3 linked regions of the Caenorhabditis elegans genome follow. The protein of the gene in region 1 interacts with the protein of each later gene in a pairwise test. Each region holds a gene or a part of one and is shown on either strand. Other genes may lie near its edges. The genes, in order: brp-1, W03D8.8 and snrp-40.1.

Evidence for each region.
Region 2: the proteins of brp-1 (region 1) and W03D8.8 interact in a two-hybrid assay, tested with the Caenorhabditis elegans proteins (one large-scale study listed by BioGRID).
Region 3: the proteins of brp-1 (region 1) and snrp-40.1 interact in a two-hybrid assay, tested with the Caenorhabditis elegans proteins (one large-scale study listed by BioGRID).

Annotation. Positions count from the first base shown.
Region 1 is NC_003281.10:12,018,510-12,022,265, reverse strand, and holds the start of brp-1 (uncharacterized protein), read right to left. Parts: upstream 1,715-3,756; coding exon 1,637-1,714; intron 950-1,636; coding exon 770-949; intron 713-769; coding exon 467-712; intron 123-466; coding exon 1-122.
Region 2 is NC_003279.8:2,789,676-2,793,431, forward strand, and holds the start of W03D8.8 (BAAT/acyl-CoA thioester hydrolase protein), read left to right. Parts: upstream 1-2,011; 5' UTR 2,012-2,013; coding exon 2,014-2,114; intron 2,115-2,306; coding exon 2,307-2,413; intron 2,414-2,456; coding exon 2,457-2,562; intron 2,563-2,665; coding exon 2,666-2,957; intron 2,958-3,002; coding exon 3,003-3,116; intron 3,117-3,756. Other genes in the region: W03D8.1 (uncharacterized protein), read right to left, coding at 10-74, 121-275, 323-454, 501-634.
Region 3 is NC_003284.9:11,298,048-11,301,803, forward strand, and holds the start of snrp-40.1 (U5 small nuclear ribonucleoprotein 40 kDa protein), read right to left. Parts: upstream 1,738-3,756; 5' UTR 1,554-1,737; coding exon 1,538-1,553; intron 1,488-1,537; coding exon 1,420-1,487; intron 1,371-1,419; coding exon 1,272-1,370; intron 1,089-1,271; coding exon 332-1,088; intron 261-331; coding exon 205-260; 3' UTR 1-204. Other genes in the region: F08G12.3 (RasGEF domain protein), read left to right, coding at 2,257-2,629, 2,677-2,862, 3,116-3,466, 3,514-3,740.

The sequences.
Region 1 (3,756 bases):
TGGTAGTAGGCGGCTTGAAGTCTTCTCATTCTCATCATTCGCATTGCCATCATTTGTTGCATGTACATACGTTCCTCCATTATTTGTTGGAATTGTTGGCGGGCCTCCATCATTCGGTATTGCTGAAAAAATTGCTTTTATTGATTTATTAGACTCAAAATTGTCTGAAAATATCGAATTTCTTAATGAAACTTCTTAAAAACCTCTTGAAAAAAAAGTTATGGCAGCTCAAAAAATGGCCTAAAATTTTTAAAGCAGTTTAGCTGGCTTGAGGCGGGTAGGCATTCCCTTCAGGCAGGCCCTGGAACCGCGCCTGTCTATGGAAGCCCTACATATGCATATATATATATATATATATATATATATATATATATATATATATATATATATATATATATATATTTATATATATATATATATACAAATCCATATTTATGTATATATATGGTATAATTTGGTAACTAACCTCAATCTCATCTGGATGAAGTGGGCGATCCAAATTGGTAGAGGACTTCTCCTCAACTGATCCATCAACAGTTGTCTTCTTTTGACCTTCATTATTCGAAATATCCTCCACTACAACTACCCGAGCCAAGGGAATTGCCATCATTCCTGGATTTTCCGCAGAGTTTATAGTCTTTTCAGATGATCCATCAATTGGTTGAGCTAGAAGTGCCTCCATTTGTGGCTTGTTCACGGATGTTTCGGTTTTCTGGAATATCAATTAATTAAGTTTAAAAAAGCTTAAAATTAAAAAAAAACCCTGTACCTTGAAGAGATCAGGAGTAGCGGCGAGGAAGTAGAAACCGATGAGTGTCACCAGCAAAAGACACGTGGCAAAGAACATGCAATGGAAGCATGCTCTCATCGCCTGGAAAGCTGGCGATGGAGCAGGCTTCATTGGTGGAGCCGGCATTGGGATCACTGTGGGCTGGAGGACTGTGAACACCTGGAATAATTCAGATTTTGTTGATATTTCTACTAACGTTATTATTATTATTGTTACCGAATATATTCTTTGTGAGAAAATTTGAATTTCGCGCCAAAAAATGTTCTCAGAAAATTTGAATTTCGCGCCAAAAATTATTCTCGGATAATTTAAATTTCGCGGCAAAATACGTTTTCTCATAAAGTTTGAATTTCGAGTCAAATGTATTTTCTCATAAAACTTTAAATTAGCGCCAAAAAAATTTCTAATAAAATTTGAACTTCGCGCCAATATACGTTTTCTCAGAAAATTTGATTTTCCAGCTAAAATTTTTTTGTGAAAAATTTTGAATTTCGAGGCAAACTGTTTTTACACGTGGTGCCGGGCTGCCCCATCACGGTTTGATCTACAAAAAATGCAGGAACTTTTTTGCCCAAAAAACATGACGTCAGCCATGTTCTTAACCATGCGAAATCAGCTGAGAAGCCTGCGTCTGAAATCCCGCATTTTTTGTAGATCTATGTAGATCAAGCCGAAATGGGACACTCTGACACTACGACTTGTTACTCATAAAATTTGTAATTCGCGCCAAAACGTGATCTCTTAAAAAAAATTCGAATTTCCAGCTGAAATTTTTTTATGAGAAAATTTGAACTTCGCACTAAAAACAGTTCTCAGAAAATTTGAATATTTTTAATAGAAACTCACTTTTGGATCGATCTTGATAGACTCCTTCTCAACGTCCTCACTCCCGTGAACGCCGGGCTGTGCGCCTAGTTTGGTCATCTGTAAATGATTCTTGATTAGATATTCGAGTAAAAGACAAAAACAAAAAAAAGAGAAGAGATCAATGCGCACAATAGGAGAATTAGAGAAGCGGCTCACTTTCTCTCGCGGAGCATTAAACATTTTTGACAGGTTGGCATTCACGACTCTTCCGCGCGGTGTAGGAAAATGAACAAAAAATGATCTCCCGATGTTTTGATAGGAAGTGACACCAAGTTTTGAAGAAACACACAAAACGAGTTTTTAAAATAGCCGGCCACTTGGTTACTGTACACTTGAGAGAGGAATGACGTCATTCGTTTTTGTTTTTGACCAGAAAATCTCGATCAGATGATGATAAAGATTTCTGTGAAAAATTTTAAAATGATAAAGGATACTTTGATTTTTGATTTCTTTTCCATTTTTTGCAGCAAGGGTTTAAGGGCAGAGTATAATATACAAAGTTTGATGGTTCAGGTAAAAATAGGTAGGATGTGTTAATTCAAATGCGGAGGGTTTATTTTTCTCTTATTATAAATATTAATGTGCCTGCATACAAGGTGGAGTACGGCCTAAAATGAACAAATATCATAGTAAAGCTATTAATATAATTTCGGAACATTTTTCATTTTGAGTTAAAAAAAAAGTTCTGATTCCAGTTTTATGCTTTAATTATTTTTGAAATATTCATACATGCTGCAGATTCTTCGAAAAAATGTCTACATTTTTTTGAAATGTTTTAGTATGATTTTTGGTATTTTTAGCGCTCTGCATGATTTTTAAAAAATGTGAGTTATAATAATTTTTTTTGTAAATTTTGTGATTTTTAGTTAGTTAAACTCATATCGAGAACTGTCTTAAAACGAAAAAATTGGTGAGAAAAAGCCCGTTTGCTCTAAAAAATATTCATTTAGAACTAGTATTGGTGGGCGGCAAACTGCCGGTTTGCTGATATTCCGGAATTTTCGATTTTCGGCAAATTTCCGATTTGCCGGAAGTTTTTAGAGGGCTTTTTTATGAGACTGATAGTGAAACACGAAATTTCGAACAAAAAAAAAATGCAAAACCACAATCTGTCCGACAATTGCCGTTTTTCTGGAAAATGCGGCAAATCGGCAATTTGCCGGTTTACCGACTTGCTGAAAATTTCAATTCCGGCAATTCGCCAATTTGGCGGAAAAATTATTTACCGCCCAACCCTGATACATGCAACACTAACAGGGAAGTATGTATATACAGAAGTTTACGATACATACCGTATTTCCTCTATTAGTTTTGCACCCGCTTGCTCAACTTTGACAGCTCATATCTCAGTAGTTCTTTGTTCCATAGAAAAGTTGTCAACTGATAAAATTTTTGTGAGATGTTTTTCTATAGTTTGTAGTTTGTTAATTATTTATATGTTCAAAACAAAATGAGATATGAGCTGTCAAAGTTGAGCAAAGGGGTGCAAAACTAAAAGAGGAAATACGGTATATTCCAAATTATTTTTGTCCTATTATAAGTTATTATCGGTTTTTAATGTGGTTGCCACAATTTTAAATATTCTCCGATCAGAATTACAGTATTCCCCTCCCCCCCCCCCCACCTACGCTTGCCTACTTATTTTATTATTTCTTATTTCTCCCCCACTCTTGTGGGGGCACTCTTGTGGGGGCAGAGTCTCCTCCACCTTACTCAATTGACCGTTTCAAATGTCTTTCATTTTTCACATGAAAGAAAATTGTTGAAGGTTACCCTTATATTTTGACAAAAACATCACCTTCAACTGGCAAAAGAACAGAGTAGAAACGGTTCCACTTTGGGGGTTCAAGGTTAGGTTTTGTCTCGTATTGGAGGAAAATAACAGAACAAAAAAAAATATTTAGATGGAATTTGAAAATGTTTAGGTTTTTTATGAAATTTTGCAATTTTCAATAGACCAACAAAAGAGTTAATACGGTATTTACTTACTTATCAAATCCTATTACTATAAGGGATGTTACTATTTGAGGAGCATAATATTTAGTTTACCGTATTAGTATTCCCCCCCCCCCCCCAATTGTTCAACTTTGACAGCTTAT
Region 2 (3,756 bases), on another chromosome or scaffold:
AAAACCTACATTTCCGGGGTACAACGTCTTATTGTAAATAGTATTAACCAAGGCACCGTCATCTAATCGATCATCTGAAAGAGTAAGACCTTATAGGCACGTAGGTAGGCACATGCTTACATTTGAGGCACATATAGAAGTTATTCTTCGACTTTGTTGCCTTGAACATTTCCCCTAGAACCATTCCATTCGAATGCGATTCGCATTCACCGAGAAGTTCTGCAGGATAATCGGCCATTTTCTCCATTTCGAGCACGTTATTTATACTCTTCATACTGGAAAAATTACTTGCCTACATGCCTGCCTACAGGCTTCCACTTACTCCGACGTGCAATTCATTCTCTTGAACAAAGTTTCATTAATAAGATCAGCTTCGGCGATAAAATTATTTTGAGATACAAAAACAACAACGTGTTTCTCTCTTCCGGTGGTGTATGAATAATAATAACTCGATCTGGAAACGAAGAAGGTAGGTAGGCAGGCAGGCAGGCCGAACTCACAATTCTACACTTCCACACTTTTCTAGTCGTTCGGCATTTTCAGCGTCCGTCAGCTTCAAGAAGTCCACAGTAGCTGCTCCACGAGCCAACAGAAGCAAGAGTAGAAAATTGATTAATTTTCCCATCAAAACCATTTGAGAGGAGAAATTGTAGAAATGATTGAAATTGTTAGGGATTCTTGGAATATAAATAGCTAGCGGGAAAGAATAAACGGGGATTTTTGAGACGTGTAAGGTTTACGCGAATATTTCAGGTTCTACATGCCAACCAGGGCTGGGACTTTTTTGGGGCCACAATCGGAAATGTCCGGCAATTGGCAATTTTGACAATTGCCGGTTTTGGAAGTTTCCGGCAATAGGCGATTTCGGCAATTGCCGAAATTGATTGCTGGACATTTCCCGCAATTTTCAAACCTTATTATATTTTGGAAATTGAACAAAGTTAACCTTATTTTTTAGTATTCGGTTAGCCATTATTCAAAAAAAAACGGTCAAAAGGATTAAATAATTTGGAGCTTGAAAATAGATAATTATTCATTAAAATGCATGTTTAGCCTCCTAAATCTATAAAAAGCTTCAAATTTATATTTCCGGCATATTAATCGGCAATTCCGGCGATTGCCGGTTTTCAAAATTTTCGGCAATGCCGAAAATTTGCTTGCCGAACGGCAATTGCGGCGCACCCCTGTTGCATATATTCCTGAGTGCCTATGGACCTACCTACATGCCTACCTTTTATTGTCGCCCCTAAATTACACCCCGACCCTCATAACAAACCTAAATGGCGTCATTAATAAAACTTAGCAGCCGACAAAATGTAGGCCAAAAAACATTTTTTTTCTGTTCTTTTCTCTGCGTTTTTTCAACGTGACCTCGAAGAGATAATACTCGGCCACCAATTTTTAAAGGATCTTTTTTGTGATCCTCAACTTGAAGCAACAGTGAGAGTGCACAAACCTCGGCCATGTCACTGGTTTTTATAGGTACCCACAATTCTACAGAATCATGGCCATAGCCGCGGATAGGGAAAACTAGGCTTACAGAACCAAAGTCATCAGCAATAACGTGGCCTAGAATGGAAGAAAACTCGGCCACCAACTTTTTTCCCTTCTAAACGAAAATTAGTTAATGACGGACAAACTGCATGAACCTCAACCAAGGTCACCCACAGATCCATGACCATGGCCGTGGATAGGAAAAATTTGTCCACTCTTACAAAACTGAAGTGGGGCGGTGGCCGAGGATTGAAAAAAAAACTCGGCCACCAACTTTTTCCCTTCATCGCCGCAAAAAAAGCAGTACCGTTCTTTTCTACCTCCCCAGAGTGCTCATTTTTCTCTGACCAAAGTCAAAATTAAAACTCTCACGAATTGATAAGAAGCTTTTCAACCACCCGCCTCCCTCCAGTCGTGTGATTGATAACTGTGTTTGATAACTATAACAGTGATTTGTACTCTCCTCACCCATTTGTACTCACTATGTTTCGTTCCTTCTAAAACCAAAAACTTTCAGCAATGCCGATTCATGTGGACAAACCGGACACAATGCAAAATGAGCTCATCGATATCGTGGCAGATGGGCTCCGATCGAATCAGATTTACACGTTTCGAATGATGTAAGACTTCAGTACATTATTTAAGTTCAAAAATTTTTGATACTGATGATTGATGTGTTGTGTAGTTTAGTAATTGCTATTTAGGCACAAGGCCAAAAAATGACCGAGGTGGCCGAGTTTTTCTTTTTTCAGCCACCTAGAAAATGCTGGGCGGTATCGAGGCTTAAAAATTTTAAACCTAGACTTTTCCAGCTTGAAACATGACTATGGAACTCACAAATCGGAAGCAACATTTCAAGCGGACCCCGCTGGAAGAATCGACTTGAAGTATGCGAAGCCCCTTAGAGGATCTTATTACGGTAGGTACACAATACCTAGAGTCACTCTAAATCAGATATTTAGATGCTGATCCGATGGGGTTGTTCCTTGGAATGAAGCCATGTGAGGATTTTGCATATGGTGGATATCTTCGGTGTACTCCGCCAGTTCCGTTTTATTATCTGTTGGAGTAAGTTTTATACTTTTTCTAAACTTTTGCTAGTTGCACTTCCTTTAAAAATTTCCGCCACAAGACTATGTACACAAACCCCTGCAAACATACAAAATTTCAGACTCTTTGATTCATCCGGAACCCTTATCGACTCTACCTACATCAAAAAGCACTGGATGCACCCAAAATTGATACGAACCGAGTTAGAGGAAGATTTCTGTGCGACACTCTTCAAACCTCCCGGTGATGGTCCCTTCCCAGTGGTCCTTGATATTTCAGGAACTGGTGGAGGAATCCATGAGCATAAGGGTGCTATGTTAGCTTCAGAGGGATTCGTTGTATTATGTCTTGCCTTTTTCCAGTTCAAGTATTTACCGCAAAAAATGGAAGATGTAGATATGGAGTATTTTGCAGTGAGTTGTAAAATTTGAGCACTAAAATTAGAAAGCTAATTCCAGAAAGCAATCAACTACTTAATTGATCTACCATTCACAAAAAATGTGATAGGTATACAGGGAGTCTCGTTTGGCGCAACTATTGTGGACTTGCTCACCACAAGACATGGCGATAAGGTAGGCAGAATTTATTGTTCTAGGTGAATGGCGCTAAATGATAGTTGACGAACTTCAGCTCAAATTAGTGGTGGACGGCAATTGCTGTTCGGCAAATTGGCAATTTTCCGGTTTGCCGATTTGCCGGAAATTTTCAATTCCGGCAATTTACCGGTTTGCCGATTTGCCGTTTGTTGGATATCAATTTGCCGAAAGTTTCGGCAATTGCCGTTTTTCCGGCAAATTTGGCAAATTGGTAATTCGCCGATTTGCCAATTTGCGTAAACTGCTAATTCCGGCAATTTGCTGATTTGCTGGAAATTTTCAAATCCGGCAATTTGCCGACTTTCCGGAAATTTCCAATTCCGGCACTTTGCCGATTTGCCTGAAAATTTCAATTCCATCAAATTGCCAATTTGCTGGAAATTTCAGTTTCGGCAAATTGCCGATTTGCCGGAAAAAAATCGTTTGCCGCCCACCCCTGTCTCAAATTCTGTCTGCCGCACATACTTTCGAAAAAGTGTTTAAAATTTAATAGAAAGCACGTGCAGGGGTAGCGTGTATGTGTAAATAGTCTGCAACTAGACTGCCATAGAAATTTTTGGAGCAAGTGCAATAATTTGTGCTCCAAAACAGTCCTATGAGGAAGTGAAGCGGAAGT
Region 3 (3,756 bases), on another chromosome or scaffold:
CCATTAAAACAATTTTTCTGGCGTACTTCAATTTTGAATTGCAAGAATTCATTTGATAAAACATGATCACTGAAAAATAAATAAAGAGAGTCGGACATAAAGTAAGTTCAAAAATTACATCAAAAAAGGAGATCCAGTGAAAAAAACAAAACAGAAAAATGACAAAAAACAAATTTAACCGGCGAATATGGATGTTTTGAATTTCTAGCTCATATCGATTTCTCCCAAGAAAACACGTTTGTCACTTCCACACGAGAGCACTGAAAAATTGAAATTATTGAATGGTCAAACAATGGAAATTTTAAATTTTTGTAATTTATTTTTAACTCACTGATAGGTTCCTTTGGGTGGAAATCGGTACAGTTGACACTTCCCATGTGACCTGGAAGCTTGTACACAATTTTTTTCGACAGTGTTTCCCAGACGTAGAGAAAACGATCCGACGAGCCAGCAGTGATGAATCTCTCACATGGCGACCAAGAACATTTGAGAAGGTTCTTCTCGAAATTGTGATTATGACCAGCAAAAACTCCCACCGAACGTTGTCCTGGTACGAATGGTCGAATATCCCATTGTCGAACAGTGCAATCCATTGAATTGGAAATGATGAATTTCCCACTTGGTGACAAAGAGATTCCAGTAATTGTGTCACGATGTCCAGTCAGAGTGTAAGTAATCTCGTCACGACGCATGTCCCAAACTTTGAGCACGTTGTCAATTCCACCACTAATCACTTGATCCGAAGAATCATTGAATGTAACTGCTGTCTGCTGGTATCGGTTGGTGTAAGTCTTCACTGGTTCCTTGGTTCTCATATCATGCACACGACATGTTCCATCGTCACTGGCAGAAGCGACAAGAGTTACACCACGACGAGACGGATGGACGGCGTTCACAAAGTCTGTGTGAGTTCTGAAGCGACGAGCGCAAGTCCCGGTTTCCATATCCCAGACACGAACACTTTTGTCTGTTCCACAAGAGACCAAACTGCTGCTGTCGGTGGTGAATTTTAAATCCATAACTGCTCCTGAGTGTCCTTTGATTGTAGAAAAGTTCTCGCATTCGCCGTATACATTCCAGAAGAAGATCTGCAAATCATTGCTTAAAAGGGTTGTTTAGTATGAAGGTAGTTTTATATTCGGTTTTTTCAAGACTATACAAAGTTCTACGTTCAATTGTTCTTATTTGCAAAGACCAATTAATAATTAAATCATAGAATTTAATATTTGAATATAAATTCTTGAGACCACAAGGATTTGAAAAAAACTCACTTTCTGGTCGTATCCACTAGTCGCTAAGCATGTTCCATCTGGGCTGAATGCACCGGTGTAAATTTCTCCTTCATGACCTAGCAAAACCATTGTTGGTGCCTGAAAATATAGATTTCTGTTTGTTGTTTGATAAATGTTTAATATTTACCATCAAATTGGAGAATCTCTGCGCAGTTTGCTGTGGAAATCCAGAGCTGACCAGTTGCTGTCCCGAAGCTGAAATGTTTTATAAAAATAAATTACACAAAATTATAAAATAAACTTACAAGTAACAAGAGCCATCGTTGTGTTGGTAAATGTTGGGTTCCACTGGAAAAACAAATTTGAACACTGGAAGACGTTTTCGAATAGACAATGACGATGCAGTGTGAGAAACGCGGAGACGAGTTGTAAATGCAATGCGGTGGAGCGCGTTTACATTTTCTAGTGCGCACACTTGCCGTTCGTCCTCCCTCCCTGGCAGCAGGTCGGGTCTCCTCTCAATGTCTGCCGGCGCTGAGAAGAGAGCATAGGAAAGAAGGAAAGTAAAAAGAAACAAAGAAGAGTGAGAAGAGCTGCTGTGTGGCAACCAACGACCGCATGGAAATTTGTGGAGGCCACGAGAAAGAGTGCACATTACAGAAAAAAAAACAAATTTTTGCCAACTAGGCAGAAGAGCGTGGTTCACACGGAGAGTGGAGACGACATGGAGATAAACATTGGATTCTGTCCGCTATCAGTTACCTTTAGACGTTATCAAGGCGAAAAAACGCTTGAGGCTACGTACGCATCAGGCTTGCCAAAAAAGGTTCCCCTGGCAACCTGCCAACTCTCCAAGCCATCTCCACTTTTCTTTCCTCCCATGCTGAATCTTTTGTACATTATATCAGTTTAGAGTTTTTTTCCGTTTCTCATTGTTGCTTTTTCGTTTTGATTGTTTTACATATAAATTCATATGTTTTCAGATACTCAGAATATATTTCTCAATCAATTCATTGCGGCACTGATGTTGCAAAGTGATCAAGAGCAATTGCTCCAGGCGCAGCAAGCGTTGAACAGGCTGAATCTTTATCAAATAACTCAGCGAATTGTTACGAATCAACAAAACCAATTTGTTACCCAACAACATGATCAATCAGTTCAACCAAACCATACAAGCAGCCCGGCCTACTATGACGAAAATATAAGAACACGAAATGAGGAAATAGACGGAGCGATTGAGTATCACAGAAATATCCAACCTTTGGAGCACATATCCACTTGTATACTCAATCACATTAATCAATTCTCAATGCAGGAAAAAATGGAGTGGTTACACGACCGACCAAAAGCCGTTGAGACTTTGCAACAACGTTCCACTGTTCTTCTGCATGAATTAAGTAAGTCAATTGTTAACACCAATAAAATAATGTAACAATAATTTCAGCAAACGTTGATGACTTTTCACGCTTGTTCGGTCTCATGAATTTTGGCGAGCGCCAAGTGGGTCTAACGTCAATCCAACAAGAGTATCAGAAAATCCATGCTGTTCTTCAAGAATATCTACAGTTCCAGCAAACTAAAACTATATTGCTTTTGGCTGCACGAATCTTTGGATCGTCTTTACTCAATGGTGGGTTTGAGTTTACAATTTTTACGTGCTGAGTTGTACATCAAAATTTTAACTTTCAAAAAATATAAATTAAGTATTTTCTAGCAAACAAATTGTCAACGTTAGCGTATCTAGCTGAATATGAAATTTGGTTGTTTAGTGCCATTTTTATTTTTGTTAACAATGAAAACTTTGAAGCTATATTTATGTAAAAGTCAGCTAATTAAGCAACAAAACTACAAAATATGGAGGTTTACGTAGAATTTCAATTCAGCAGTTCCAAATAATCAGCTTGCTCAACTGATGTACACTTTCCCGAAACCTGAAGGTGCAATGCAAACCCTCAATTATAATGTTCACAATGGGCTTGGACCATCAACACTCAGCTCACCAGGAAAGATTAAGGAGAAAAAAAGCTTCACCCAATATAGGAAGATTAATGAACGGTTCTCTCAAACAAAATCACCTACCTTATACACAAACATCTTCGGCGAAACTTCGATGTCAGTTATGAACGCAGCCAATGCCATCAGATCCTGGGAAGACAGAAAAGCTGTTGCAGAGCATATTCATACCTATGTTGAGAAGAAAAGTTTACTTCACGAATTCGTTCGCAAAATTTCAAGTGAGATTGAGTTCAAGTTTATAAAAGCGTCAATACTTTTTTTGCAGATATTGGACTTCGAGAGCTCAGTGGTTTCTTTGGGGCAGCAAGAAAACCACTTCCATGGGATGCAAAGGAAAATCAAATCTTTGAGATGGTTTTCCCAAAGTTAGCTGTCTTTTTATACGCAACAAATCGAACCCCACATGTCGTCGCAGAAATGGAGCTTCTCTCTGAACATCAATACGATTTCAAGAAACATTTCAAAACGGCCAACAAGAAAAAATACAATCCAGTGAGTTTCAAATGAA